Drosophila melanogaster: one gene and its partner. The protein of the gene in region 1 interacts with the protein of each later gene in a pairwise test. Each region holds a gene or a part of one and is shown on either strand. Other genes may lie near its edges.

Region 1 (15,343 bases):
TCCACCAGTAGATGTTGCTGATGAACCATTCGAGCTGGATCCATTGCCTTGGGCAGACCTGGGACGGTACAAACAGCATGGATCGTGCTCTAAGGCGCCAGATCCCGCGGCGCTATTGGGTTGCAGCTAAAAAAAACAATAAAGTTTTAATTAGTAATGCTACCAATTAATATGTAGTACCAAAGACATTATTCTAGTGTCTTTGGTAGTACCTTAGTAACAAGGTATGACAAAAAGAATGCAATTCAAATTAACTATTCAAAATGTATGCATGCAGAAAAAAGCAAAATCGATATGGCTTATTGCTAAAATGATTTTCTCAAAAAATCAAAGGCTATTGTTGAAAAATTAACAACAAATACGCTTACTGAAAGCATATCGAAGCTTAACAACCGATATCGGAATTTTAAAATAAAATTTGCTCTTTACAAAAGCATCTATTTTATTTATTGTATGTACACGTATTTGAACAGATTAAAATCTCACACTTGGAAGCTTATCCAATTTTCGACATTTGAATTCATGCTCAAATAAGTATCAAAATCAATCGCAAAATGTTGAGTAATTAATATAATGTAAGATATAACGACTTAATAGAACTCGAAACAAACACTGGTATTGCACTCCACTTACATGCTCGCCATCGACTTTGCGATTGGGCTCCATCTTAGGATATGCACAATTATAGAGAGAAGGGTGGAAAAAAAGTGAATTCGGGTTCACGGATAGACAGTTGGTTGAGCGTACACACACATGAACAGGAAGATATACGTAAACTCCCAAATTAAACCCACCTGATCCTCAATGGTGCGATGATTAGTTTCTTGCAGCCAGGTGCCCAGTATGATCGAATCATCACCATGACAAAGCGTCCGCAACAATGAGTTTGTAGTGTTGGCCGCGTTATCCGAAAGAGTAAACTCCGAGACGAGCATGCGAAGAAGATGGGTATAGGAGGCCTCTAGCGCATTAGCAGGCAGCAGCGTCAGCGTTTCAAAGAGACGAAGCCGCACCATAGCTGCCGGTGCCTTTAGCTGGGTTCCATAGCTCTTTAGGACAGATGCCAAGCTGGAAAAGAAAGGATTCAATTAGCATGACAGATAAGCTGAATATTAAAGATGAATCTCACTTGACCAACATGGCCAGGGCGCTTTCGATGGGGGTGAGTAGTCGTCTGGTTATGTCTTCGTTCAGGAGATCCGGGCAATTAAGCAGGAAGCTGTGCATTACAGAAAGAGCTCCAGCTCTGCCCTCTAGGGTCACCTGCCAGGTAAAGGCATCGCCGCGCGCCTTTTCCGATTCAAGCTCTTTGTTGGACCGCGGGAAAGAGTTCCGCCACAGTAGCAGCATTCGCGGCAGCAAGCCCTTGACTACCGGCGATCCCAAAGTCATTATAGCTCCAATTAATAGCCAGCCGGCCTGGGTACGGTGCAGCGACATGCGGCTATTCTGGGAAGCAGATCGCAGCAGTTCCTCCGCACAGTTGAACACGACCTTTCCCTTTGTGTGGGGTATGCCCAATGGCGAGTACCGAACGCTTCCCAAAATTGCCGCCAAAGCGCAGCTATATCCGGCCATTGCTTCTGGCGAGGATCGCATCTGCTCGATGGCCTCCACAAAGCGATCAATTAGTGGCGTGATTTGCCCAGGAACCGCCACACAAGCGCATCGTAAGCACCAAGCGGCAGCCAAACGGGCAGCGGCGCAGGGATGTACCAATACGGCACAGGTAGCATCGATCGCTTGCAGGGATTGATCTCCCAACAAGTTCTGGGCCGTGGTTCCTAATCCAATAAGTAGAGAACTCAATTCCTGGAGGGCACACACCAGCAGGTGCTGACTGAACAGTGTTTCTTGATTAGAATCCTTGGCGTTCTCGGGATTGAAGTCAATTGAGTTCATCTGTTTGGCTACCAGATGGACCAGTTCCTTGCAGGCAGCGCTCTGCGCCTTCTCGCCTAGCATCTTTCCAATCGTTGATCGGAGTATAAAGCTAATGCATTTCCGTGAATACACTGCATCTACGTGGGAGCACGCTGCCTTTGGATTGGCCACGAGATCCAAAACGTGTGCCAGAAATGTGCTTAACTGTCGTTCCAACCAAACGCTGCCCATGAATTGCACGAAAACCACGTATGCATGCGTTACACCCACTCGCACCTCACGGTTGACACCTGAGCTGCCTTTGATAATCTCTCCGGTACCCTTGAGAAAAGATGCGCCACCACGAAGGAAACCTGACATGAGAATGCCCAGAGCTTCATCCAGGGAAACCAAGCGTTGGGTAGCTCCCTTGCCCGCTTGAATAGCCACCGCTTGTCCCTGTTTCTTTTTGCTTGTTGCCGCTTCTGCCAGTTGTTGAGTATAGGCTAGAAGTGTTCCCAGCAGCTGAGCTACCGCACATCGCACTTCATAGTTGCTGCCGTCGAAGGCTCGGAAACACAATGTTCCCAAGCTTTCCAGCTCCGTTTGGTACAGGAATGGTGCACTGTATATCATTTTAAGGATGCAGCGGGCTGCAGCCACTCGAACAGCCATAACTCGGTCCAACAGGCAATGCTTGGCCGCCTTGTAAATATCCTTGTGCACGTTGGCAATGGCTGTGCCCATGCCAGCGCTCACCTTCTCCAGCGTGTGCATGATCTCAATCCGCGCCTGCGACTCAGCGTTGCGAAGCGTTCGAATAAGGATCTGCACCGTATCCTCGTAGGTGCGGCCCATCATCCTGCCCAGCTTCTCATACATAGAGCCCAGCACACAAATGGCGGCACTAGGGATAAAAGAGACTCAGTTTCGATTTTTATATTTTTATAAATGCAATTTACTCACAGCTTTGTGGGCAAGTAGCTGGGCGAGTCGTCCTTGTTCTTCAGGATGTCATTGCAGGCGTTGACGGTGTCGAAGAGCATGAAGGTGTCACCAACGGAGAATAGCGTGGCCAACGCGCTAGCAATGAGCTTACGAATGGGCGGACCTGGTGCGCCCTGGATTCTTTCAGAGAGCTGCTGCACCAGCTTCTTCTGGCTCGCCTTGATCTCCGCTTTGGACACCAGTGGCAGGGCCTTCTCCAAGTAGCGCAGCCATTCCAACTCGAACACAGGCCGCTTGTGTTCGGGCAACTGCTTGAGAGCATCCTCATTAAGGATCAAAGTGTGGGCCAGCTCCATTTCGGATATAGCCTCCTCCTCAGTTTCCGAGCGTCCCCTTGTCGATGAGGCGGAAAAATGGTCGCTGTTTATAAACGATCTGCAGAGCAAGCGAGAAAAAAAAACAATATAAATTGCGGAATGTTTCATCAATTAAACGCAACATATGGTTGATGATTGTGTTCGCTACGAATCGGTCGGCCTTTGACCTTGCCATTTGAGTCTACTAGTACGGACAGCTGCATTATCGATTACAATTTGTTGATCACATTTCAAAATTTGTTATTTTTTTACTATTTAAGTGGTATACTAAACTTTTATATCCATTAAATTTATAGATCAATGTCTAACAAATATATAATGTATATACGTGCGTAAGTATGCCACTTGAAAAAAAAAAAAACATTGGTTTTGCCAATCCATATTTATAAAGTTGTAAAATAGATAAAAAATTGTCAAGAAAACGACTTCATTAAATATAACTATTAAGAAGATGACCTTTTTTTATTTATAACAGAAACGTTGGAAATTGTGTCCGCTTAACAAAGCAAATATGTCTTAAAAGCTTGCCACTAATAAGTAGAGCAATCAATTTACGGAATACACATTTATGTGGATAAGGGGCCCAGCGCGGCTCTTCCCAGTGGTATTGTGTGGAAAAGTATGCATCACTCAATCTATATATACGGCGATGATGACGGTGATGAAGTCAACCCAGAAACATATTCAAATGTATCGATGCGCCGCCACGCTTCGAACGGAAACTGCACTGGTAGCGACTAGGAAGTCCACACACCCACAACCGCTCTATTTTCTTGTTTTATCCACACACCCACTCCCACTGTCACCCAGCTTTGATAAGTGCGGCAAAGAGCTGTCGCCTTGGGCTCGATAGCAGCGCCCATTGACACAGATGGCGGCAAAGTCAAGAGGAGCCAAATTATTAAATCGAAACAAAGACCTTTTCTTCGGAAAATCAAAGGGGTCCGAAGCGGCGGCGGCGGCTCTTGTCCTCGTCATTTGTGTGCTATGTGCGAAATGATGTCCGCCGGCTATGGGTAATAGGGTAAGAAAAGACAATGGGAAGGATGTTCGAGGGTGCGCTGCAATTTTAATGGTGGGGCGTTGGAGCACCATGGTGCTGGGGAAGGTCGTTTGCAGTAATTGCTTTACTGGAAACATCCAGCCATGTAAAAGTGCCCTTATTCGAAAAAGTTTCACATATTAATTCTTAGTTGACTGTACAGTAAAAGGAATATATATTGTCAACTCTAAGCTAGTTAGTTACGCAACATTTTTTCACCACCTATAGCTATTGTGAATCATTACAAAAAGAGTTATTTAGTCTTCAGCCAAATACAGACTGATTTCATACATACATACATTCAATGAGTATTTCAGTGCTATTATTTTGACCACCGCTGTGCGTACATACAAGGCGAAATAATCCTCAGGCGTGAGGACACCGAACCATTGACGTCTGCAGGCTCGAGTTACATAAGACGCCGTTGGGCTGCTGCACCGCCTCCTTTGGCGACCACTTTCCCGCCCACAAAAGGAAAACAAGTAAAACCTGTAAGGTGCAGCCCAGCTATGGAAATGAAACCAAGAAGCAGCCACGAACTGAAATCCCGGCTAGACTTGTCCTGTGCACTACGGGAACATCAGGGTGACTCGTTCGCCGGTGAGTGGTGAATTCTTTTGGGTGGTGGTGGTTGACTTTTCCACTTTCCACACACACCCCCCCCCCCCCCTCCCTCGATTAACCCACCCTCCAGCTTTGTTTTTGTTTTTTTCCCGAAATTACCTGCGCGCCTCGGAGATAACTTTGCGCAGAAATTGCGGCGTGCGTGCAAAGTTTAAGTTTTCCATTGTTGTGATTTGCTGTGTCTTCACATTTCCAGAAAACTTTCTTCGCCGTTTCTCTCGCCAATCTGCAGCAGCCTGCAACTTTCACACAAATCGATAACACTTCCACAAAAGCACTTTTAGCACACGTTTTTAACTGCTCCAATGGATTTTGTTTAATATTACTGTTTTGCTTTCAATTACACTAGGTCAATTCATTCTTGTCACTCGATGTAGCATAAGTTGCGAAAAAATAAAACCGAATTAGAGCGGATTACAGGCGCAACTCTGGAAAAGATGCAGGTCCAGACCAGATCCGCTTACACTTGCTTCGCGCACCGAGTACAAAAACAAAATGAAATGAAAGAGCGCTGGCGAGCACAAACCCACCAAGTAAAAAGTGTTCTCTCTCTCTTCATACACTTTTTAAGGATAGCATCGGTCTTGCCAAATGTTATCCAACGCCTTCGTTCGTGTTTCTTCATTTATTTTTTCCAACGAATAGAATGGAATTTTCTTTTAAAAATGAGTTTTTTTTTTAATAATAAGTTAATTTTTATTTTATTAATTTATTTATTATTATTTAATATCAAAATAACGTTTGGTAAATTAGTGTGTTCCTCCTTGCAAATATTTGCATAATATATGTCTTGAAAAAAGGCCTTTAAAAGTGTATACACAAGTCGAGTGTACGAATGTACGAACTTTAAAGTGAGAGAGCGCCAAAACAAAATAAAATCAAAGAGCGGCGCAAAGAACACGGGAAAAACACCCGCTGTGGGGCACGTTCGAGAAGAGTACAAGTGGGTGGCAAGTGCTGCCGGAAGAGAGCGGCTTGTGAGAGAGCGGGCGATGACGTCGCACGCTAGAATCGCAGCTGATTTAGCAACAATTTGCAGCCAGCACTGTTATAGACTTTTGGGCACATTAACACCGATGTCCGCACACACCCGCATTGGCGTGAACTATGTCAATGTGTCAGTTAAGTCGTTTCGCTGATTCGGCGCTCGGGTGAAGGGAAGCCCAGGTGCAGTGTCCTGCGACAATTGTCCCGCTTGCTTTGTCCTAAGAGAACACGTTTGGCGGCACTTCCGGCCGTAAAGGGTCTACCGAATGATTTAGAATCGGTCCCAAATCCAAATTCATTCAGAAAAAAGTTCTATACTTAATTTGCTTAAAAGCAGATACTGAAAAAAGGTTATTTAGGTTTTTAAAGACCAGAGAAAATAATACATAAGGCGAATAATTAACCCTACCTCGCCAGTTGCAAGTCAAATTATATTTCAGACCGCGACTCACTGATTTACTTATGTCCTAAGATTAATCAAATCTATAAGTGCCAAGGCTGATTTAACAGTTACATAATATAGTGAGAAGCACAAATCGCGTTATAGTTGCTTCGATTTTTATTTTATTGAAAATGTTAGAAACCTTGCACAAGGCCCCGATTAATCTGCAATAATAAAACAACAATGCACTACAAATTATGTATAAACAAAACTTTGTACACTGTCTAATATTTCTAAAAAATGTGCTCAAATAAATATATAAACTATTTTATCAGCTCTTGTTTCAAACTGATTTTGGGTGACTATTCCCCAAAACAAAAATTCGAATTTATCAAAGTACACACACAATTGTAAGGTCAGTAGGTCCTTCGACTTTATTGCGACTTATGCTAAGAGCTTAAGGTAAAAACTGCATGCTGGGAATAAAAGTCAATGCCTTGGAAGTGGGGCTTTTGGGATTCCCCAGATCTTTGGCGATTCCCTGCACGCGGGCCACCACGTCACTGCGCTGGATATCGCCCCGGTCCAACATCCTTTTAAATAGAGTATACAATTGCCTGGCCGCCGAAACCTGTGACAAGGCATGCAGCTCCACCAGCAGATTCTCGGAATATCCCTCGTACTTGCTCAGACTCGCCGCCTTAGCATCGCGCTTTAGCAGATCGTAAACCAGCAGGAAATCCACATAGGGCTTAGTGGGAGGAACTCTCTTTTTGCCTGCGATCGAGGCGGTGCTCCATCGATCCATCGCGGACTCAGAACCGAAAGCGGCCCTTCCGTAGTTATCGTCGTAGAGGCGCAAAAAGTTATCCAGTGACTCCACATCGTTGGTAAAGTCGTAGCGCTCGCTTTGAATATCACGGATCAAAGACAAAGGCAGGGTATCAAAGTCGCTATCATCTTTGATTTCTGCAAATAGATCGTTGCCCTCAAGGGACTTTTCCGGCGGCGCAGTTGGTGCAAAAATTGCCGGACGGTGCGGCACAGTGGGTGGCGATGTGGGTCTCTCGGTTGTGGATGATCTCTTCGGCGTTTCCCACCAACTTGGCGGCTGCCACCAGCCCATGCCACCAGATCCAGACGCACCTGCTCCAATCGGTCGCCTTGTGGTAGTGGTTCTCATCCTCGTGGGCAACGGTGTGGATGGGCGCGGATTTGCAGTGGTGGATTCCATACCTTCTTCATCCGCACTGAAAGGAGGCTCCACTGTTGTGCTTGATAGTGGCTCGTACTGCAGCAGGTCAATATAGTATGCCAAGGCCTGCATGGAGGCGGGCAGATAGCTAGTCAGTAGGTTAGCCGGCGCCACTGGATCCACTAGGTGACCCACTAGAAGCACCACCAGCATTGGACGAACCGTTAGCCCACTGCGCATTTCTCGCTTTTCTTACTTTCTTCTGGCGGGAACGGTTTACTCTGGGGGAATGGAGGCACTCAACTGAAGCGACTCTTCCCAGCAACCAGCGAGCATCTGTAGTTGGCTCTGCATCTGTCTTTGTCTCCGTATCTGTATCTGGTTTTCAAAATGGGTGACAGCGGGTTCGGCTTTAGCTTATACTCTTTCAAAAGGTATTTTAACGCGCAGAAAATATAAAAAAATCTTCAGGGTCAAACGATTACAACTAATCTGTATTGATTTTATATTAATTTGAGTATCATCACAATCTTTTATTTCTATTAATAAATGTTATTAAAGCAATACTTCTCGGTTTTCCTTTTTAAATCATTTGCCCTAATGGAATAGCGTCAATGATTTCTGAGCATACTTATAGCTTCGGTGTTGGGCTTCAACTTTTCACATGCGATTTTTTGGGGGTTTTAGCAAACTCGTTGAGTGGAGAGGCCAGCGACCGCGATCGCCGCTTGTTGCGTAAATTTTGTAACCACCGACTTTTGGCGGAGAATGTTGTTCTTGGAAAGAGTGAAAGATGTTCCGTTGCCAAAAGAACAACCAGTTTGGTCATAAATATGCAAAGTGTGCACAAACACAGGCAGAAAGCAGGCGAACCGCACATAAACCTGATTTTGGGTGCTTTATTCATTTGCAAGGAGTACAAAAGCTCTTACATTAAATTAAATGCATCTTTGGTGCAGTTTAAGAATCACTTGCAAGTGCGACACTTTGAGAGCCATTGATGACCGCTGTCGATCAAAAAAGGAGAGCAAGGGAGCCCGGCAAACAGCTGTTTGAGAAGCATTAACCTGTTGTTGTTGCTCTTGTGTTGCCGTCTAGATGAGTTTTCGCTTTTTTCGAGGAAATTGGAGCACGGTAAACGACTTAGCATAACGGGTTTCCTAAGCAAGCCGTGCCGCTGCTTTTTTAGCACAGACATAACGGCCTCACACTCGCACACCTAAACTTTTTGCACTTCCGCCTGGCCAATTAGCACTTAATAGTGTCATGTGTATTTTTTGACGCGTCAGAACCAAGACACACACACAGGTAACAATTTCACTGGCACACTCCCACACCCAAATTGGCCCCATGCAAATGGTTGCTTTGTTTTCAATTTCGACGTGCTTTCAGACTCAACTCACCGGTTCACTTCGTGCACAAACAAGTTTACAATTAAAATCACTCTCTTCACATGGTTATTGCTTTTAGTTTACTGGAAAAATTGAATTTTTCACGAATTTTCACTGCGTTGCGATACGGTTTGTGTAGGCTAGCTCGATAACTTTGGCCGATGGCGATAGTCTAAACATTTGTCTACGTTTCGATGTGAATGAGAAACAGCTGCTTGTTGATTGCACATGTGCTTATTTTTTTGTTTACCTAAACGCTCCAGAATTTCTGTGCACAACTTTGTAAATTACAGATAAATAATATAGGAAGAATGGCCAGAAGACCAGAGCATTCGGCGCCGCCAGAAATTGTGAGTATACGCCATAACGTACTGCCCATCAAGTGAACCCTCACCAATTTTTTATTCCTTTAGTTCTACAACGATGATGAGGCCAAGAAATATTCCACAAAGTGAGTAGATTAGATAGATATGTATGTATATGTTCGAACTCATAAAAACCAGAACTTTTTAGCACCCGCATCATTGAGATCCAAGTAGAAATGGCCGAACGTGCCTTGGAACTATTGGCGCTCCCGGATGATGATGAGTCTCGGTTGATTTTGGACATCGGCTGTGGTTCTGGACTCTCAGGTAGCGTTCTTGAGGACAGCGAGCACATGTGGATCGGCATAGATATTTCCAAGTCTATGCTCGATATCGCCGTGGAACGCGAGGTTGCTGGGGATGTCATTCTGGGAGACATGGGCGAGGGAATGCCCTTTAAGCCGGGCACTTTCGACGGCGCCATCTCGATCTCTGCCCTCCAATGGCTCTGCAATGCGGACAAGTCGTATCACAATCCCCACAAGCGCCTGCTGAAGTTCTTTACCACCTTGTTTTCCTGTCTGACACGCACCGCGCGAGCTGTCTTTCAATTTTATCCGGAGAACTCCGATCAGATCGAGATGGTAACCTCGCAAGCCATGAAGGCGGGATTCTACGGAGGATTGGTTGTCGACTATCCAAACTCTGCCAAGGCTAAGAAGTACTACCTGGTGCTCATGACTGGAGGATCTGCTGAGCTGCCGCAGGCTTTGGGTTAGTTTTAATAATAATAATTATAGAAAACTAATAATTACTTTCACATCATTTTTCTTTGCTTTTGTAGGCTCACCTGAAGAGGAACGTCGTGTAAACTATATAAAGAAACGTGATGCTTGCCGTGAGGCTCGGGGAAAAGCGCCAAAGAAATCCCGCGATTGGATCCTAGCCAAGAAAGAGCGTCGACGTCGCCAGGGGTTGGAAACCCGTCCTGACACAAAGTACACTGCACGCAAGCGCAGCGGCAAATTTTGAATAAAGTTGTTACATTTAAAATTAGTGACAGACCTAATCTCTAATTGCGGCTTTGTCTATATGTTTTAGATCTTGAGTCAGATTAAGGATATTACAATGCCGTTGGATGTTTATATACATATGTATAAGTCCCGCTGCTATTCATCTTAAGTAAAACGGACACATCTTTAATTCACAAAATTATATTGTTTCGAATTTAATTCATTTAACTTAAGTCTATGTACGCTGAAGACTAGAGAATTCTAAGATTGCTTCCCGACTAGTTTTTGTTCTCGCTCTTCTTGATCGCGTCTGTATCGTTCCTTCGCTTTCTGCTTGGGAGTGTCGTAGGAGCTTTCGGCGAGGAACATCAGGTATACGGCCACTCCGGCAAAGATAAAGGCCAGCAGGACCATGTCAGTCTGGCCTGATATTCTGTTGGTCTCCCTTTGCACTTTTATTCGATCGTATTTGGCCTGGGCGGCTTGTCTCCGGTCAAATGATTTACCATAGTGATTTCGCGACCACTCGTCGAAGTCATAGATGGGCGTACGGCCCGCAGAATCAGATACACGCGATTTCTGAAATCGCGACTTGTAAAACTTAGTCTCCGCATCGTCCTCGACTACGGGTTCCGCTACATCGTGGACATCTTGGGCATATTGGGCGCCTGCCGTATGTACGATTCCCTTGTCGTAAAGTCGACGCAGCCGGTAATTTCCCAGAATCTCATAAGCCTGATTGATCTCCCGAAATTTCTTGGCTGCGTTCTCACTTCCTTGGTTCCTGTCCGGATGATAAAGCATCGAGAGCTTATAGTAAGCTGCCTTGATCTCGTTCTGCGTGCACTGACGCCTGATTCCCAGTGCGTCGTAGTGGCTCATCTGGTGGCGTTGACTGAGGTAGAGGCCACGCAGCAGAAGCAGAGGTCGCCACAACATTGGGCTGTGCTGGTACATCTTGGATGTGTTCTTTCGCCCGCTTCACTTGTTTTGGTTTCGTTATATCACATGAAAATTAAAAACAAATCGAATCAGCTGTTTGAACTTGAACTTGTTCACCCTCGCCATCGTTGTTATCGATAGATCGATAGTATTCTGAACCAATGGTGCAGGTACAGCAAAAAATTAGCTGAAAGAGGAAAAAGAGCTTGTAATTGATTAATTTATAAAAGATAGATTTTGAAAATATTTACAGAATAAATGATTTTCAAAAAAGTTTTTACAGATATATCAGAAAAATATTTGTAATCCCTGGCTTAGTTAAAAATTTAAGACTTTAGTAAAGTTGAAATTCGTCAGCTGTTTGGGCTATGATGAAAAAAGCAAAACGTAAGCTCCACGGTTCCAGTCAGCTGTTTGGCCGATTCGCTGCGAATGGCAACTGTTGCAACTATTTTGGTTTGAGTCTTCTCAATTTTTATTTATATATAGAACAGGGCAGCAGCCGGTTCAATAGTCTCACGCAGCGTGCTTGATTTTCCCGCTAAACGCCTGCAACTGTATCTGTGTGTATTCGAGAGCGATCGAGAAGTTTCTGGTGGTCGAAATTTAGGCCAGAAGGCACAAAACCGAACTGAATAGTGAGTCATCCGTTAACAATAAAAAGTTGCAGCTACAGTTTTTGTCTTTTTATACAGAAAATTGTGTAACCATGACAAACACCATCAACAGCGAGGAAGTGTCCGACGCAGGAAGCTACAAAGATAAGGGCAACGAGGCGTTCAAGGCCTCCCGCTGGGAGGAGGCAGTGGAGCACTATGGCAAAGCCATTAAGGCGGGCTCTAAGCACAAGGAGCTGGCGGTTTTCTATAAGAATCGTGCTGCCGCTTATCTGAAGCTAGGAAAGTATGAAAATGCGGTAGAGGACTGCACTGAATCTTTGAAAGCGGCTCCGGGGGATCCCAAGGCACTGTTCCGTAGGGCTCAGGCGTACGAAGCTCTGGAGAAGTTCGAAGAGGCCTACAAAGACGCAACCGCTTTGTTTAAAGCGGATCCCGGCAACAAAACCGTACAGCCCATGCTCCAGAGGCTTCATGTCGTCGTGGAAGAGCGCTCTGCCCGTAATGCCAAGACATCCACAAAAGTCAAGCAGATGATGGATCTTACTTTTGATTTGGCCACGCCCATCGATAAGCGTCGCGCGGCAGCCAATAACCTAGTAGTTTTGGCCAAAGAGCAGACTGGCGCTGAACTGCTTTACAAGGACCACTGCATCGCCAAAGTGGCCTCACTAACAAAGGTGGAAAAGGATCAGGACATTTATGTGAATATGGTGCATTTGGTGGCTGCTCTTTGCGAAAATAGCGTCGAGCGTACAAAGGGCGTTTTAACTGAACTCGGAGTACCGTGGTTCATGAGGGTTCTCGACCAAAAACACGAGAACTGTGTGTCCACCGCCCAGTTTTGCCTACAAACAATATTGAACGCATTGTCTGGGCTTAAGAACAAACCCGATTCGAAGCCGGAGAAGGAGCTGTGCACTAGGAACAACCGGGAAATTGACACTCTCCTAACATGCCTAGTTTATAGTATCACGGATCGCACGATTTCTGGAGCAGCTAGGGATGGCGTTATTGAGCTTATAACCAGGAATGTCCACTACACAGCTCTAGAATGGGCCGAACGCCTGGTTGAGATCAGGGGACTGTGCCGTCTGCTGGATGTGTGCTCCGAACTGGAGGATTATAAGTACGAGAGTGCAATGGATATCACAGGCTCATCATCCACAATTGCATCCGTTTGTCTGGCCCGGATATATGAGAACATGTACTACGATGAAGCTAAGGCACGGTTCACGGACCAGATCGACGAATACATTAAGGACAAGCTTTTGGCGCCTGATATGGAATCCAAGGTGCGGGTCACCGTTGCGATTACTGCCCTGCTTAACGGTCCATTGGATGTGGGCAATCAGGTTGTGGCCAGAGAAGGTGAGTTCTGTTATTGGATTTAGAAAATGGTACTTAATTAATGGTGAAATTTGTAACAGGAATACTGCAGATGATTCTAGCAATGGCTACGACCGACGATGAGTTGCAGCAGCGAGTATCATGTGAGTGCCTAATCGCCGCTTCCTCTAAAAAGGACAAGGCCAAGGCTCTTTGTGAGCAGGGAGTAGATATTTTAAAGCGGCTCTACCACTCCAAGAACGATGGTATTAGAGTACGCGCCCTGGTGGGTCTTTGCAAGCTGGGTAGCTACGGCGGTCAGGACGCGGCCATCCGACCATTTGGCGATGGAGCTGCCCTTAAGCTGGCGGAGGCATGCCGTCGGTTTTTGATCAAACCTGGAAAGGATAAGGATATCCGTCGTTGGGCTGCCGATGGTCTGGCTTATTTAACACTGGATGCTGAATGTAAGGAGAAGCTCATTGAGGATAAGGCTTCCATTCACGCTTTAATGGATTTGGCCCGCGGAGGAAATCAGTCCTGTCTCTATGGTGTGGTCACTACTTTTGTGAATCTGTGCAATGCGTATGAGAAGCAGGAGATGTTGCCTGAGATGATAGAACTTGCCAAGTTTGCTAAGCAACACATACCGGAGGAGCACGAGCTGGACGACGTAGATTTCATCAATAAGCGTATTACTGTGCTGGCAAATGAGGGCATAACAACTGCTCTTTGTGCACTGGCGAAAACTGAAAGCCACAATTCACAGGAGCTGATTGCCAGGGTTTTGAATGCGGTTTGTGGACTGAAAGAGTTGCGAGGAAAAGTGGTTCAAGAAGGCGGCGTTAAGGCGCTGCTTCGTATGGCGCTTGAGGGAACTGAGAAAGGAAAACGCCATGCTACCCAGGCGTTGGCTAGGATTGGCATAACCATTAATCCGGAAGTATCTTTCAGTGGCCAGCGATCGCTTGATGTAATCCGTCCTTTGTTGAACCTTTTGCAACAGGACTGCACAGCGCTGGAGAATTTTGAGTCGCTAATGGCACTCACCAATCTAGCCAGCATGAACGAGAGCGTGCGCCAGAGGATTATCAAGGAGCAGGGGGTCTCCAAGATAGAGTATTATCTGATGGAGGACCATCTGTACCTGACTCGTGCAGCTGCCCAGTGTCTGTGTAATCTGGTTATGAGTGAGGATGTCATTAAAATGTTCGAGGGCAATAACGACCGAGTGAAGTTCTTGGCGCTTCTCTGCGAGGATGAGGACGAGGAGACCGCAACAGCTTGTGCCGGAGCTCTGGCCATTATTACTTCAGTGTCTGTCAAGTGCTGTGAGAAGATCTTGGCCATCGCCAGCTGGCTGGACATTCTGCACACTCTGATCGCCAATCCCAGTCCGGCGGTCCAGCATCGAGGCATTGTGATTATTCTAAACATGATCAATGCTGGAGAGGAGATCGCCAAAAAGCTGTTTGAAACGGACATTATGGAACTGCTGAGCGGTTTGGGGCAGCTGCCCGATGACACGCGTGCCAAGGCCCGAGAGGTGGCCACCCAGTGCCTGGCGGCGGCGGAGCGTTATAGGATCATCGAGCGGTCCGACAACGCGGAAATCCCCGATGTGTTTGCCGAAAATTCGAAAATATCTGAGATTATCGATGATTAAGCGAAATTCGTTTGTAGTGCCTTTTGTTTTTCCTCCATTTCATCTTCTTTACTTTACTCACAGTGTCATCGCGAAATTTAACTTATTTTTCAAAATATCAAATGTACTTAACTGTTTTATAAATATTGTTCGAATTTATTTCGTTTTTAAAGGTAGTTTGTTTTATTCCTTAGTGGGTAATATAATATATTATTTAGTTATTTCATGAATACGCGATTTTTTAATTTAACTAATTTAATACAGACCAAGCCTAATCCAAGCCTAATTGCTGCGGCCTAATGTGATTTGGATTGTAATATGGATGGCCACTAGGATGGCCTAGTGTTTTCCCACCGACTCCATTTTCCCCGGTGCACTGCCTCGGTACGTTTTCTATTCATTGCCACACATTAGTCGCCAGCTCGAGGTAGCTGACTTCCTCTAATGCAGAAGATGCTTCTGATGCGGCAGTGTTGCAGTGTCAGGTAGCCGGGAATTCCGAGCCGAGCATCTCTTCCAGCTGATTGCTCAATCTCAATGAAGTGTGATTAAATAAATAATAGTTGCTTTAATTTAGTTTGGCTCAGCGCAGTGGGAAATGGCCGAGGGTTTCGGTTGCTATGATTCGGTTGCCATGACTTAACGGCATTTATTCCGAAATCCATCCCGCTTTTTGTCTTTGG
Region 2 (16,346 bases), on another chromosome or scaffold:
CAACTTCCTGGACCTGGCCAACCGCACGCTGAGCATCGAGGCGGTCAACGAGAGCTTCTCGTCGCGCATCGAAATCTTCGAGCGGTGTCGCTACTACGCCCATCCGGACAACTCCGAATGGACGTGCTTTGACCAGTCGGCCACGCTGGACATTAAGAACTTCTTCGGCTTCGAGCACTCGATGGAAAAGATGGGCATGAAGCAGTACACCCAGACGACGCTGAAGGGCAAAGAAATCATTGAGTTCTTTATCGGGCAGCTGCGCGAGGAAGGCATCACGCATGTGGAGCGTTGGACATCGCCCAGTGATGCAACCAAATCGCCAACCCTCGATCAGGCTTCGGATCAGCAGCATAGCATCTTGCTGGACGGCGACTTTATCGCACGCAGCCTGGGCCAGCTGTCGCCCATGCAGGAGTCCAAGCTGCTGGAGCTGCGAAAAATGCTGGATGGTGTCGATGACTTGGAGCGTGTGCCCAGTTATCAGACCATCCTGCGTTTCTTAGCAGCCAGGGACTGGCACGTTAGCCAGGCCTACGCCATGCTCTGCGACTCGCTTCGCTGGCGTCGGGAACATCGCATCGACGCACTGTTGGCGGAGTACTCCAAGCCAGCCGTGGTAGTGGAACACTTTCCGGGCGGCTGGCATCATTTGGACAAGGACGGTCGACCCGTTTACATTCTGCGCCTGGGACACATGGACGTCAAGGGCCTGCTAAAGTCACTGGGAATGGATGGACTACTGCGATTGGTAAGCAAGCCGGCGGAGAACTTATCGCTGAGATTACATTTTAAACAATATGCTGTCTGTCTATAGGCTTTGCACATCTGCGAGGAAGGCATTCAGAAGATCAATGAATCCGCCGAACGCCTGGAGAAGCCAGTTCTCAACTGGTCACTGCTTGTCGATCTGGAGGGTCTTTCTATGCGCCACCTCTGGCGTCCCGGCATCAAAGCCCTGCTCAACATCATCGAGACTGTGGAGCGCAATTACCCAGAGACCATGGGCCGTGTCCTAGTGGTGCGAGCGCCCAGAGTGTTTCCCATTGCATGGACAATCGTTAGTGCTTTTATTGGTGAGTCTGAACAAGCCGTCATATGGAATTGCCTGTTAACAACGCTTTGAAATCCTGCAGATGAGCACACCCGATCCAAGTTCCTGTTCTACGGCCCCGACTGTGCGCACATGAAGGATGGCCTGGCCCAGTATCTCGACGAGGAGATTGTGCCTGACTTCCTGGGCGGACCGTGCAAGGTAAGCAAGCAAGGCGGCAGCCACGACTTCCGGTAGCGCGTCTTCGGTTGGGAGCCCATTACTGCTGCATCTGTAGCAACGTACTTACTATATTATGTTATTATTGTATATGTGCGTTAACTCTCTATCCCTCTGGTTTCGGCCTTGATTCCGGCTCGCTGGGGCTGCTCAGACAGAGAACCAGCTAGTCTCGCATGTGGAGCAAGTCAGTCAGAAATACTTTAGCCATTGTTATTTAACCAAATGCGATTGTGTAAGCATCCTACTCTCTTGTTCTTTTGCTCCTGCTCTCGATTTCGTTTGTCACCATCCACAACGACAAATTGTACTGTACTCGTCCGCCTTTGTCTTACTTCCTCGTTTTTGTTTCTCACACTTTGTTCGCTGTGCGGTTCTGTTGCAAACTGTGTCAAGCCCATGTGCGCAGCTTAGCCATGACATTCCTGCTGTAATATTTCCTCCATTGTGCCCCAGCGTCCATGTCCACGTCACTTAATCTCTCTGTTCACCCGGCGGCTGTCATACATGTGCTCAGTCCAAGCCAACAGCCACGGAGCCTGCCCACCAGAAACTGCTCTAACGTATTGTCCTCTTTCCACAAAGACCATGATTCACGAGGGCGGACTGGTGCCTAAGACGTTGTACAAGATGAATTCGCTGGAGGATCACGACGACGAAGTGACCGCCGAGCTGCCCACCACTGCCGCGGCACAGGCTTTGGTTCCAGGCAAGCGCCTGTCTGCCAACCAGCAACACGATCATCGCAATCTGTACAAGAGTGTGGATCTCAAGGCCGGATTCGCGCACGAGCTGCTCATCCGGAACGAGGATCCCAAGAGTGTGCTCACCTGGGACTTCGATGTGATGCGCAACGATCTGCACTTTACGCTCTACCGGGTCACCCAGGAGCTTCCGGAAAAGAATGGTGAGTTAATAATGCACTTACAAAAGGTTTTCATGTTGCTTTTTGTTTTTCTTTTGTTCTGAGAACTGGTTTTGGTTTCAAAGGTGCGAATATCACGATGTTGTTGCCTCATTAGAAGTTGTTTTTGTTTACTTAGCACTTTTATAAAAACACAAAGCCACGATAAAAAGCGAAAAATGCGGAAAGTGGAAACTCTTACACCCTTTCGAAAAGAAAAGAAAATTTGTTGTCAGGCAACTTAAAAACAAATTAATAACGTTTGGCTTAAATTGAATAGTTTACTATTACAATTAAGTATTAAAACGTATGTTAATTTGTGTATATATTTATTTATATAAATTTCCAAGGTATCTGTTGCTAGGGCTCTATTAAATTGATAACGCGCGCATTTTGGTTCCGGTTTATTGATAGGGATTGCTTTTCATATGTGTTTTGATAATGTAGTAAAATACGAAAAAGTTGAACCTTATTTTATAAAGCTTTTTGTACTTTGAACCTTTTAATTAATTAACTTGATTAGCTTGACAGCTTACATATAATTAAATGCCCTTCGCCCACAGATTCCGCCGTCTCGTACTTTGATCTGCAGGACTTCGTCGAGGGCGTCAATTATTTCCGTGAGGAGCCAACGCTGATTTGCCGGCACAAGGAGAGCGTCCAGGGGTCGCACGTGATGCATCACAACGACAGCTATCTTATGCACTGGTTTAGTCCATCGGGTGCCCAGTTAAACGTCTTCTACGAGGTGCTCAGCTCGGCCAACTACAAGGGTTCGATGACCAGCCTGCAGTCGGCATTCTCATCGAACTCGTCGGCGGCCAGCTCGGTGCAGAGTCGATGATATGAGAAAGCCGGGGATGGCGGAACGAACGGCGCCGAATGGAGATCCCCGGCATTGGAGGAGCCCATAGCGGCGGACATTCTCACGGGCACCCTGATGGAGAAGAGCCTGAATCTATTTGAAACGCCGGACGTATTCTTTTAAGACCGAAAGTGGTAATATCTTGTGTTTTAGTTGTCTTTAGTTGTTTAGCAGAATGTTAGTTTGATTTTAAATTGTATTTAGCTCAAATAGGCCATTTATTTCCTTTTAAATTTATTATATTCATTCAATATATACAAGCATTCATATTATTGATAATCTTAAGAAAATTAGAAATATCAGCGGTTTAAATGAGCAACACCAAAATATCACGCAACGTTTTATTTGAATCGTCAATTTGAATTTTTCGTAAGCAGCTCTATAAATGAAGTTTTAATGCGTACATATATATGTAAAAGCGACGTAATTTTTATAGCTTTTTCTAATGGAACATTTTTTAGCAACAATTAAGGAACTTATTGCGATTGCGCAGCCACTGAAACGAAAATAGAAAAAATTGAAATTGTAATCAATAACTACGTGTTACCTAATTAGTTTAATAAACAAATTGCCGAAATGGCTTATTGCAAGGATTTTAGCCAGAACTTATACAAAAGAGTGAAATGTAAGATTTGAACTCGAAATACACACGTAGGTTATAGCTAGACGTCAGATTATAATTATAAATGTAAAATTGTATTTTAAACATTCGAATGCAGAACGTTTTTGATTGCACACTAATTACCCCGTCATTTGTACGCCCTTAATTGCTAATATCAATCAATCTCCAAAGTGTTTTTAAAATCAAAAAAGGCAACTTCAGTGTGTTTTTTTGGTTATTATTTATTGTATTAAAAACGAATTACTATGCGGATGTTTACAATTTAGTTTTATAAATAATCTGACGTGTATTGTAAGAATAAACTGACAAGCCAATAACGAAGGAAAAATGAGTGCATGTTAACTAAGTGTGTAAGTTGTATTAAGAACGTAATCAAATAAATGCTATTAGATCAATTACATGTACATATTCGCATTTTATTGTGGGCTCTTGAAAAAAATAAACTATTCAACAGTTTTAATTAAAATCAAATTTAGAATCCATGAAAATTGTATGGTATGGATATGGATGCTCTTTTCATATTTTAAATGTGGATTGTAATGTTTTTATATATATTGTAATGTTTTTATATAACAAAATAGATAAAATTAGACCAGCAAATGACTCGTTTCTGATAGAAAGAATATTCAAATTACGCGCCAGACCTACTATTCCAGCCCTGGCTACCTTGAGAAGGTCTGGCAACGCCCCCGCTAAAACATTTTGTGAAAACATTGAATTGTGATATTAAAGAAAATTAAACATGAAATTTATGTATATTATGTATAATAATTAAATAATTATATTATATAATAATTAACAGAATTTAAAAAACTTCACATTTTGTATTTATATAACACCGTTCTTTCTCATGGCTTAAGTCACGTCAAACTATGTTATCTTCAATGGTGAAAAACTGGGTTAAAATTGTTTGTTTATCGCGCTTGTTGTTGGCTGATGGCTGATAGGAAATTAAAGCAATGTTTGTGGCCGCTAAAAGATTCGAATTTCGCAGGCAGCACCCACCACCACCTGCACGGGCCGCCCTAATCCCGCATTCTCCTAGGGCCCGTATCTTATCCGCGGCGGATGCAAACCACTAAAAGGCTACTTGGCCATGAAGTGCGGATAAGCGGATTCCTTCTTATCGCCGCTGGCCATTGGACATTGGCTATTTTACCAATAATAGTTACGAGTGCCTGGACTTTCAAGCATTTCGCGCCTAGCATTCGAAGCAGCCAGACCAGTCGCTAGAATCGAACTCCAACATGGTTGCATTGAGCACAAAGTAAGTACCCCTGCCCCACAGCCCCATCGCCTCGACTGACGACCACAACGTCCACCAATCCAACATTCCAACAAGAGCCAGTTCTCTGGGCAATGGCGAGCGGAGTAGGCGATGGCGATGGTGGTGACCAAAACGGTCTGAACTCATTACTAACCGCACTGGGCGACTATTACAGCGGCCGCCGGGAGGAGAAGGCTGCAGCCAACATCTACGATGACAAACGGATCTTTCCCGACTTCCGTAGCGGACCTTTGGAAGAGTACCGTGAGCGGGCTAGCTTCTGCTACAAGCGCATGAACGTGGTGCTCGAGGGCGAGGATCACATACGGCTGAAGGTTCGTTACCATTTCCAGTTTGTTACATATGTACATGGTCAGCGGGGTCGAAGTGCAGACTGCCTCGATAGCTTTTGTCGGAGCTGCAGGCCGCCAACCGCCCGGTCTAATCGTCGCCCGTTTCTTATCTGCACACTTGAGTAATTCGTTTACATGTCACTCCGTCTTTAGCACAAGGTGTGGCAATGGATGGAACAGCACCCCGACTACCAGCGGGAGCCAGGATCCGATTTGGAACGCACCCGCGAAATGGCCAACAAGCGGCAGCATCTTCTGTGGGAGCAACAGTTCTACGGCGTCAACGAGGTAGGATGCGTTGCGTACTCCTGAAAGTGTGGCTGCCTAAATCTCCTGTCTTTCTTTCAGTATCTTGGAACCCCACATCTTCTGCTTGCTTTCGGACAGGCCATCTTTAGCTACGATTTCAGCACTTCGGTCAAGTTCGGCCTTTCAACTGGCATGTTCCCCAGCACGCTGGTCTCCAACGGATCTGGCCGCCTGGGCAAGTACGTGGCCAAGATCGCGGACAACCGCATTTTGGGCGCCTACGCTCTCACTGAGATTTCTCACGGCACCAACGCGCTCGGCATGCGCACCCGTGCCACCTACGATGTGAAAAGGCAGGAGTTTATCATCCACACGCCAGACTTCGAGGCGGCCAAGTGTTGGGTCGGTAATCTAGGCAAGACTTGCACGCACGCAATCGTCTACGCCCAGCTGTACGTGCCGGATGACAAGCACCAGGGCCTGCAGGCCTTCCTTGTTCCCATTCGGGACGAGCGTACATTGCTTCCATTCCCCGGCGTAACCGTCGGCGATATGGGCGAAAAGATCGGTCTCAATGGCATTGATAACGGGCAAGTACTTTCTTCTATCAGTTGATAAAACTAATCAACAGCAACAGAAATAATTTCGATTTGTTTGGCATTGCAGATTTGTGATGTTCAACCAGTATCGTATCCCTAAGGCAAATCTGCTGTCCAAGACCGGTGACATCGATGCGCAGGGAAACTACACCAGTAAAATTAAGGACGAGCGTAAGCGCCTTGGCGCCTCCTTGGGTGCCCTCTCCGTGGGTCGCGTCAATATCACTGCTATCACGTATGTGGCCTTGAGCAAGGCTGTGACAATTGCCACTCGCTATGCGGCCAGCAGACGCCAGTTTGGCCCTACCAACAGCCCGGCGGAGTGGCCCGTGATCGAGTATCAGTCACAGCAATACCGACTAATTCCCCACTTGGCCACCACAATCGCCTTGCGGGTGGCCACACTCTGGATAGGCAAAGAGAACGTGGATTTGACCATGAAGGGCTTCACTGGCGAGGACACGTCGCAAGCGGGCATGGAGATCCATGCGATCTCATCGGCACTCAAACCAGTTGCCACTTGGGCTGCCAGGGATGGCATCCAGGTATGAATGCTTTATATATGTATATAACCACTTTTACTTATCGGTTATATTGTTTTAATCTCAGGAATGCCGCGAGGCCTGTGGCGGTCATGGCTATCTTAAATCTTCTGGCTTGGGCGAACTTCGCAACGACAACGATGCCAACTGCACCTATGAGGGCGAGAACAACACGCTCATCCAGCAAGCGTCCAATTGGTTGATCAGTCTGCAACGCAACAATGCCGACTTCGTGGCAGTTTCCCCATTGGAGACAGTCTCCTTCCTGAAGGATATGGACACAATTCTGCAAAGCAAGGGTCAGGAGCGAACTCCTGCCGAAGTTTTGGATCCGCTCAGTGAGTATTTCTTAGTTATCCAAATATAAGATAGGAATAACGCAATTTTATTGCACTTCTATAGATCTACTTAATGCCCTCAACTGGCTTACCGTCTGGCAACTGGATACGACGGTGAAACGAGTTGAGGAACAGCAGCGCGAAGGAAAGGATGCCTTTGAGACGAGGAACAACATCCAGGTCTTTGCCGCCCAGAAGCTCTCCATTATCTACGGCGAGGTGAGATGCCAACCCTCTAAACCCCAACTAAATAGTAAAATAACCAAGTTTAATATTCTTTTAGCGCACCATCTACTACGTGTTTTATAAGTTTGTAATTGGTCTGCCCGACTCTGCTGAGAAGAAGGTACTGCAGCAGGTGCTCTCCTTCTATGGCGCCCACTTGGTCACAAAGTACTCCGCTGCTTTCTACCGCGGTGGTTACTTCCGCGAAAACTCTAACCAACTGGAGCTGTACGAACAGGGCATTCTGGCTCTGCTTCCCCTGCTGAAGAACGAAGCCATTGCTCTGGTGGATGCCATTGCTCCCACAGACTTTATTCTAAACTCTCCTCTGGGCATGAGCGATGGAAACGTAAGTGGTCTACCATAAGCAACTGCTACTCTTACTAAAGATTCTATCCTTTCGCAGGTCTACCAGCATCTGCAGCGCACGCTTGTCTCCACTCCAGGTGTCTACGAGCGTCCTCATTGGTGGCGTGATGTTACCTACAAGGATTACCTTAAGCGCGCCAAATTGTAGACTCACTGTAAAATCCCAAATAAGAAGACTTTACTCGTTGAGTTTTTGTAAGAAACTGATTTTATTTGGAAATATCTTCGGTTTAAATAGGTGACATGAGAATCGCATCTTAAAGTAAATGGCCTACGCAGAGGCCTAAGTAAATAGTCCCCGCCTTATCGAGGTCCCACGCTCGGGCACATCTGCCTATCTTGAGCGGCGAGGACCTTATCTGTGGTCTCCCACTAAGGGACTATTTTAGGAGGCGGGGAACGATCTCAAGTGACTGACTCATGTAGTGTGCACTTAAATTACATGTTTTTGAGCAATGCACCCATGTCGCCTTAGATAACAAAATCCTAAATATAATTTATCGCTCTCGATTCATTTACATAAGATATGAACGGAGCCCAAAATTGTAAGTCTTTAAATATATTCGTGTTCATGTGTGAACATTCTGCCAAAGGGCCAGCAAGCTGAGATGTACATTAGTATATTAGTTGCATTTATAACAGTAGTGGACTGTATTTATTTGATATATGTTCATTTATTTTGCAACTAAGATTTCAATGGGCCTAGTTTTTCTGGCTTTTAATTTTATTGGATTACAATTATGGTTTATATTATTTTTAATTCAACAATTTGTACTCAATTAACTTATTTTAAACATTTTGCTTTTTCTATGTAGAAGTACATTTTCTATTAAACAACGATATAGTGGACTGTATATTTTTATTTGTTATATTATTTTATTGTTTATTTACTATTGATATTTATAGTACTGGCAACGGACCTGCAAAGGTTATTGCTTGCATTCTTTGTTGCACAGCACATTTCCGTATGAAATATATTATTAATACTATCATTAGTATTAAAGCAATAATTAATCCAGCATGTCCGGAAATATGATGGAAATGTAAATCTTTCAATTTTTGATGGTTCTCTTTCATAAATTTAATTTCATTATTCAATCGTTCAAATTCCTCAGTATGATTTAATATTGATAGTTTCAGCGGATCCCAAATAATCTTCGGCGCTTCACTAATTTCTCCTATATAAGGTGTTGATAATAATTCTTCACTTTCGGACTGAATGTTATGGTGGGCAACTAGAATTTTATCGTCGGTTCTTGCCGTACAATATGGCGCAATGCTTAAAACTCCTTGCTGAGGCAAATCAAACAATTCAATTTGAGAGCCAGTACATTGCAGACGGACTTTTGAATTCGCAGGAACCTTAAACAACCAACTACTTTTCTTTTCTAACTCTACCCAGTAACTTTTAGAGTCGACTACTGTTTTATAGATGCAGTTCGCCGCTTTATCTGGCTTTAGAGGCTGAATCTCACATGCATTATCATTCGCTGAATTCCAGGGCCAACTTCCTTTGCATATTCTCTTATTTAGTTGCCATTTCTGACATTGATTTAATGTGGCTTCCGTCATTATGTGATAGGAATCTATCTCAAAATTATAAATTAAATATTCGGACGTTGTATGCACCATTATTATCCGATCTTCATTTCGAATTGGCACCGGAATAAGCCTGAACAATTTGGATGGATGCCTGCTAAACAGAGGCACTTTTGCACTAATGATCAATTTATCGTCGATGAATAAACCCCTGGCTGTTAACAGTGTATACACTTCCTTAAGTTCCGTACCTGACCGTTTTCCTGGAATTACTAGGTTCTCCGAAAGACTCTGCTGAATTTTGGCAATTTCTTTTTTAAGCTGATTTGGCCTGAGAATATTTGTATTTAGCCTACCGTGATTAATATCAATCAACAGGCTTATAATGCCTGCTTGAATTTTTTCGCCTTCTTCAATCAATGAGTGTAGCTGTTTCGTAATCATAAAGAATTTTATTGATTCCTTATAAACATAATAATTTTCTTTAAGAACTTCTGTCATGTTCTCAATTCTTATTTGCATACTTCTAAAATTGGAGTTAACATCTTCTGTTGTTCTCTTTAATAGATTAGAAGTTGAATCAACCACAGATGTTTGTTTTTGAATTAGTTTATCAAGGTTGTTCTGGTTATCTAACAAATTCTTCATATTTTCTTCTAATTGCTCTCTATCATCTTCATCCATTATACCAAATAAAATATGATACAAGGAACCCATAAATTCGAAAGGAGCACGCTTGCTTCTAGATCTAGACTGTATCATAAACAATTTATTGTTTTCTTCAAGTTCCGATAACTGACTTTGCATATTATCTAAGACTAGACTACATTGCTCTTCAAAGCTATGAAGTCTTTCGCAAACTTTCCTCATACTTTGTATAAGCGCATTACCCTTTGTTAACATTTTAAAATATGGATCCATTTTATAATAGATAACCAAATTCCAAGAAGTACTCACAATCTCAACATCTCCTAGCGGGTCTAGATATATTGCTGAGGTTTTATTTATTTTGTCTATAGAATATCTTGGTGCTATATCTTTAGGTAATGCGCTAGAAACTTGACAACTTAACACAAACAACAACATTGCCATAATGATTCCGATCTTGGACATTCCCGATGTCGCTCTAGTTCGTCTTTTTGGCTCTTGGTCAGCCTCATTTTTGTCAACAGACTTTATTCCTTCCAAGGGACAAATTTTAGTAATGGGTCTAGTGATATATCCTTCCTGCATCTTTACTTTAGCCACTCGGACCTTATCATCATTCCCCTTATGCACCTTTTCCACCTTTCCTAAAGGCCATCTTGCAGGATGACAATTCTCATCCTTTAATAAAACTATTTGCCCTTCTTCTATATTAGGAATTTCCTTTTTCCATTTATTCCTTTGCTGGAGCGTATGCAAATATTCACTTTTCCACTTAACCCAGAAATCTTTCTTCATTTTTTGGATAAGTCTCCACCTATCCAAATTTCCGATTTTTTCATCTTCCATTGGTTCGACTATTTCTAAAGGTGGTCTTCCAATTAAAAAATGACCTGGTGTTAAAACTTCTTGTTGGTCCTTCTCACTAACTATAGTGTATAATGGCCTTGAATTTAAGCATGCTTCTATTTGACATAAAAGAGTTGACATTTCTTCGTAAGTCAAAATAGTGTCGCCGATTATACGCTTTAAATGGTATTTCATTGACTTAACTCCAGCTTCCCAAATACCTCCGAAGTGAGGTCCTGCCGGGGGAATAAAATGCCAATCAATCCTGTCCTTTTCAAGCTGCGCTGCAATCGTTATATTTTCTTGTATTGCATTAAATAACTCTTGATCTAATTTTCTTGCAGCTCCTACAAAATTTGTTCCGTTGTCTGAATAGATATTGGAACATTTTCCCCGTCTAGCAATAAATCTTCTGAGTGCTGCTAAAAATGCGTCTGAAGTTAGATCGCTTACCATTTCTAAGTGTATGGCTTTGGTGGCCATGCAAACGAATACAGCAACGTATCCTTTAAATGTTTTTTGGCCACGATTTTTTGAACATTTAACATAATAAGGACCTGCGTAATCTATTCCAGTATTAAGAAACGGGAATGTCATCGTCACTCTATATTTTGGCAAGTTACCCATTATTTGCTGAGCTGTATTTTGTTTATACCTTGCACACGTTACACATTCTCTTAAATACTTTTTCAACGAATTTTTCAACCCGAAAATCCAATACTTTCTTTGGATATAGTTTCGCATTAGGTTTATCCCTCCATGCAATGTTTCCTTATGAGCATTTTTTATTAATAAGCTTGTTAGGTGGCATTTTTCTAAAATGATTGGATGTTTAACATTAAATTCTGCATTGGAATTTTGCAATCTTCCTCCAACTCTTAGAACCCCATCCTTGTCCAAAAATGGATTCAATGACAATATTTTATTATTTGTCTTGATTTCCTTTTTGATTTTAAGGCACTTTATCTCTTGCCTAAACTGGTATTCTTGTTGTTTCTTAATAACAACTGTTTCCGCTATTCTTATCTCCTTTACTGAAATAATTGATGAATAGGCTTTATTTCTTGTTTTCATCTGCACGAATCTATTTATGTATGCTATTATACGTATAAGTTTTTCTATACTGGAATACCTTTCTATTAATTCGTAAATAGGATCATCTATTTTGTCATTTAATACCGTATTTATTAAGACAGGTTCTTCTACAGACTGCTGCCGAGGCCAAAGTTCTTTTGGGTCTGCTAGCCATTTCGGACCTTTCCACCAAAAATCACAGTTGATCAACTGGTTAGAATCCACTCCCCTGGATGCTAAATCTGCTGGATTATCCTCTGACTTAACATGATTCCATTCAGTATTTTTTAATTTCCGAATGTCATCCGTTCTTCTTTTTATAAATTTGATCTTACTTTGACCACTGTTAATCCATGCTAAGGTAATCGTGGAATCACTCCAAGCATAGATCTCCATTATATTGTCAATTGATCCTTTTAGTCTTTGGATTAATTCACTAAGCAGGTGAGCTGCACACAGCTCGAGTTTGGGAATTGTCTTCCTATTTTTTATAGGGTTGACTCTACTTTTGCTAGCTATTATATTAACATGAGGTCCTACTTTAGCATAGACTACTGCAGCATATGCTTTTTCGGAGGCGTCCGCAAATCCGTGAATCTGAATGACTGAAGAACTGTTTGAATTAATCCACCTTGGGATTCGAATATTCTCTAACAATAATAAATTTTCTTTATATTTTTCCCAATAATTTTTATCTTCTATGGATAATTCCTGATCCCATTCACTTTTATTTATCCAAAGTTTTTGAATAAAAAGTTTTCCTGAAACCGTGACTGGTGCCAACCATCCTAACGGATCAAATATTTTTGCTAGCGTTGATAACACAACGCGCTTATTTATATTTTTTGATTCATCATTACAATTTACGCTGAACTTAAATAAATCCTTTTGAGGTTCCCATTTTAGTCCTAAAGTTTTAACACATTCATTTTCGATAATATTGAGAACCTTATTGTCCCCTGTGTCCTCCACAGTGGTTAATATTTTGGAATTGTTGGAAATCCATTTCCTTAAGTTGAATCCAACTTTCTGCAATTCATGGGGAATTAATGTTATTAATTTATTAGCTTCTTCTACCGAATCAGCTCCAGTCATTAGGTCATCCATATAGAAATCATTCCTAATTATTGCACTAATAACTTGGTTTTTACATTTATCTGCAATATCTACCAGAACCCTGGTAGCCAAATATGGTGCAGATGCAGTTCCGTAAGTGACTGTGGTTAATTTATATGTTTTAATTTTTTCTTTTGGAGAATTTCTCCATAAAATATATTGATATTTTTGATCATTATTATCTATTTTAATTTGTCGGTACATCTTTTCAATGTCTGCCGAAACAACAAATTCCCATTTTCTCCATTTAATAATAATGTCAAAAATATCTTTTTGAACTCGTGGCCCAACCCACATTATGTCGTTCAAACTTTTGTTATTCGTAGTTTTTGCTGAAGCATCAAAAACTACTCTCAATTTGGTCGTAAGGCTTGAATCTCTAATCACTGCCTGGTGCGGTAAAAAATATTTGCCTTCATCACTCACTTCAATCATGTGTCCTAAATCCATGTATTCATTCATGAATTTAGTGTAGTCAACCTTAAGTTTTTCATTTCTTTTTAGTTTTTTCTCCAGATTCATGTAACGAGCTATCGCTTGTTTCTTTGAATCTCCTAAGGTGACATCCTCCTTGAATGGAATTGACACAATGTATCGCCCATCTGAATCTTTTTTTTGTCGTTTTGATAAATTTATTTTCACAGATTTCAGACTCGATATCATCTTTTTCTTCTTCTTCCACTTCCCAGTAGCGATCTAACTCTTTTATTTCTATTGTTGTGGCTACAATGGTTTCTTTTCCTTTGGATTTTTTACATCCAGAAACTATCCACCCGAAATCAGTTTTTTGCCCAAGGAGACCGTCTATTTTTATAACTCCATTTTGCAGAATGTGAGTATATACGTCTGCTCCAATGATTAAATCAATGCGACCCGGTTTATTAAAATCGGGGTCGGCTAATTTAAAGTTCTTCCATTTTTTCTGATCAACATTAATCGTGTTGACTGGAAGTGCCTTCATAAGTTTTGGGAGAATAATTGCTTCAATTTCTAAATTTTTCGGAGAATTTCTTATCGAAATAACCGCTTTGTGCTTGGAGATGCACGTTCCTGTGGAAGATACTCCACTTATTTCAGTATGAGACCGAAATTTTTTCAATTTTAGAATCTGTGCAGACTCTTCTGAAATAATTGTGCTTTGAGAGCCACTATCAATCAATGCTCTTAATTGTTCAAAGCCTCCATACCTCGACTTTACTTGAATCAAGGCCGTGGCCAACAAGGCTTGACCTGTTGTTCTACACGTATTCACTTTTTCTGGATTATGACCTGCAAAGTGAAGTAACGTGTGGTGAGGTTTACGACAAGTCGAACAAAGCTGCTCGCTTATACATTTTTTACCAAACGGATGCCTCAGACATCTTAGGCAAATCCCATTTTTTCTTACCCAGTCAGACCGTTCTGCTGGATTCATTATTTTAAATTTATGGCATTGAATTAAATAATGCCCTGGTAGTTTGCAATATGCACAATTGTCACTATAATTTTTATTCTTGTTATTATTAATCATTTTCTTTACAGGTTTTACTTCCTGTGAGAATGATGATATAGAATTGAGCCTTTGCTCTAAAAAGTCCATGACATCAGAAAGTGCCTGTATTTCTTTTGTCTTTTTAACATGGCTTTCATATAAATTGAGTGATTCTTTATTGAATTTCCGAAGAATTATGTGAGCGAAAATTGCATCCACATCTTCTGGTAATTGTGCCTTTAATTTTATAATATAAATTGACTCGTTAATCGTGTCAATAAATGTCTTTATTTGCTTATTGGATTCTAAATTTAAATTTGGCATATCCATAAGCCTATTCATATGATCTGAGAATATGTTTCTTTTATTCTCATATCGCTTGGTCAAAAACTCCCAAGTGGCTTCATAATTTTCTCCAGAGCCGAGCAGTAAATGAGTAACCACATTTCTGGCTTCTCCTTTTAATGCTGACTTTAGATAATTAAATTTGAGAGAAGGACTGAGATCCTCTCTCACATGTATGAGCTCTGTAAAGAGTTCATTAAAAAGATCCCATTCTTTGGAATCACCAAAGAAGGTGGGAATCTGTATTTTAGGCAGGGTTGGTAACTCCTCCGCCTTAACAACCGTCGACATTTCAGCTTTATTTATTGTGCCACTGAGTCGACTATTAATGGCTGTAAGAATATTTTGTTTGTCAAATTCAAGTTCGCTAATTTCTTCTTCGAATAGCGAACTCTCAAAATGACTATTCACCTGTTCAATCAGGTTATCTATTTTATGCCATAAAAATTCAATTTTATTTTTCCTTATTTTAAGGAAATCTGGACTACTGTCTATTAGTTTAGACGTATCTTCTAGATATACTCGAAATTGGCCAACATTATTACGAAATGCCTGCTCTACTTTTAAAGCGTTGTTTTGTGCTATACCCTCTTTTTCAGGGTGACCACGCATTTCAAGGTTTAATGTAGGGGGAGGGTTTGATTTAGGGACAGTGTTTGATTTAGGGAAAGTGTTTTCTACCGACTCGCCCTTAATTTTTTCATTTTTATTTTTAATTTTTTCTAACACCATCATTATTAAATCATACTGCTTCGCGTTAAAATATTCATGATCGACAACGCCGATCTTTAACAAATTGCTATGATTAGCAATGAAACATTTTTGAAGCTCATTTAATTTTCGATTTTCTACATCTGTTAATGTTGGTTTTACTTCCAACTTTCTAATTTCCAAAATAATTTCGGACTGCTTCTTAAGGAATTGAATAGTCTTTTCTGACATCATTTTGAAAATTTTTTGTAATTTCTTAATATATATAGTACGTGTATATGTATTTTATATGTATTTATATATATATGTGTGTTTGGATAAACAGAAAATTCTTGTTTTGACTTAGCTGATGTTGTTGTTGTTGCTGCTGCTGTTGCTGCTGTTGTTGCTGCTGTTGCTACTGCTGTTGCTGCTTCTGCTGCTGCTGTTGTTGCTGCTTCTGCTGCTGGTAGAGGCTCCTTTGAATTTGACTTCCTTCTCTTCTTTAAGGCTCCGTCGATGTTTAAAGATGATTTTTTTTTTTTTGCACGTTTTATTATTTTTGTAGTCCAGTCAGATTTTTTGTTTTTTAGCCATTTATTTCGGCATTTATGCTCTTTTGGCATATACACTGCACTCTATTTATGAGCTGATTTAATGCTATTAGAGCATTTATAAGGCACTGTTTTCAGGCACTTTTTATTTAATTTATGCTCTTATGGCATATACACTGCACTCTATTTATGAGCTGATTTAATGCTATTAGAGCATTTATAAGGCACTTTTGTTATGCACTTTTTAATTTCACAATTGCTGATGTATGGCCTCAAGCACGCCTTACCACAATTTATAATGGTACACAAAGCAACCTTTAGCTATAGACTATAAGGTGCTTGTTTTAAAACATAAAAGATTCTTTTGTATCTTTTGCTTTTTATATTTATACTCTGTTCCTTACCTTTGGTAGGGGGAAACAAGAGTCACTTATTTTTGCTACCTTTAGCTGTAAGA

The links.
Region 2: the proteins of CG10903 (region 1) and Acox3 interact in a two-hybrid assay, tested with the Drosophila melanogaster proteins (one large-scale study listed by BioGRID).

What each region holds. Positions count from the first base shown.
Region 1 is NT_033777.3:8,021,824-8,037,166, forward strand, and holds CG10903 (uncharacterized protein), read left to right. Parts: upstream 1-8,587; 5' UTR 8,588-8,726; intron 8,727-8,821; exon of another isoform or gene 8,822-8,967; intron 8,968-9,003; exon of another isoform or gene 9,004-9,102; 5' UTR 9,103-9,120; coding exon 9,121-9,159; intron 9,160-9,222; coding exon 9,223-9,260; intron 9,261-9,306; exon of another isoform or gene 9,307-9,322; coding exon 9,323-9,888; exon of another isoform or gene 9,889-9,958; coding exon 9,959-10,146; 3' UTR 10,147-10,322; downstream 10,323-15,343. Other genes in the region: CG2747 (uncharacterized protein), read right to left, coding at 1-126, 634-666, 795-1,068, 1,130-2,770, 2,830-3,246, 4,954-5,018; ImpE3 (Ecdysone-inducible gene E3), read right to left, coding at 6,681-7,658; CG11035 (uncharacterized protein), read right to left, coding at 10,389-11,084; unc-45 (uncoordinated 45), read left to right, coding at 11,779-13,057, 13,117-14,681.
Region 2 is NT_033779.5:6,436,527-6,452,872, reverse strand, and holds Acox3 (Acyl-CoA oxidase 3), read left to right. Parts: upstream 1-5,010; 5' UTR 5,011-5,023; coding exon 5,024-5,266; intron 5,267-5,437; coding exon 5,438-5,572; intron 5,573-5,632; coding exon 5,633-6,123; intron 6,124-6,199; coding exon 6,200-6,677; intron 6,678-6,741; coding exon 6,742-7,012; intron 7,013-7,076; coding exon 7,077-7,231; intron 7,232-7,295; coding exon 7,296-7,586; intron 7,587-7,643; coding exon 7,644-7,754; 3' UTR 7,755-7,803; downstream 7,804-16,346. Other genes in the region: retm (real-time), read left to right, coding at 1-751, 818-1,076, 1,137-1,255, 1,859-2,180, 2,741-3,021.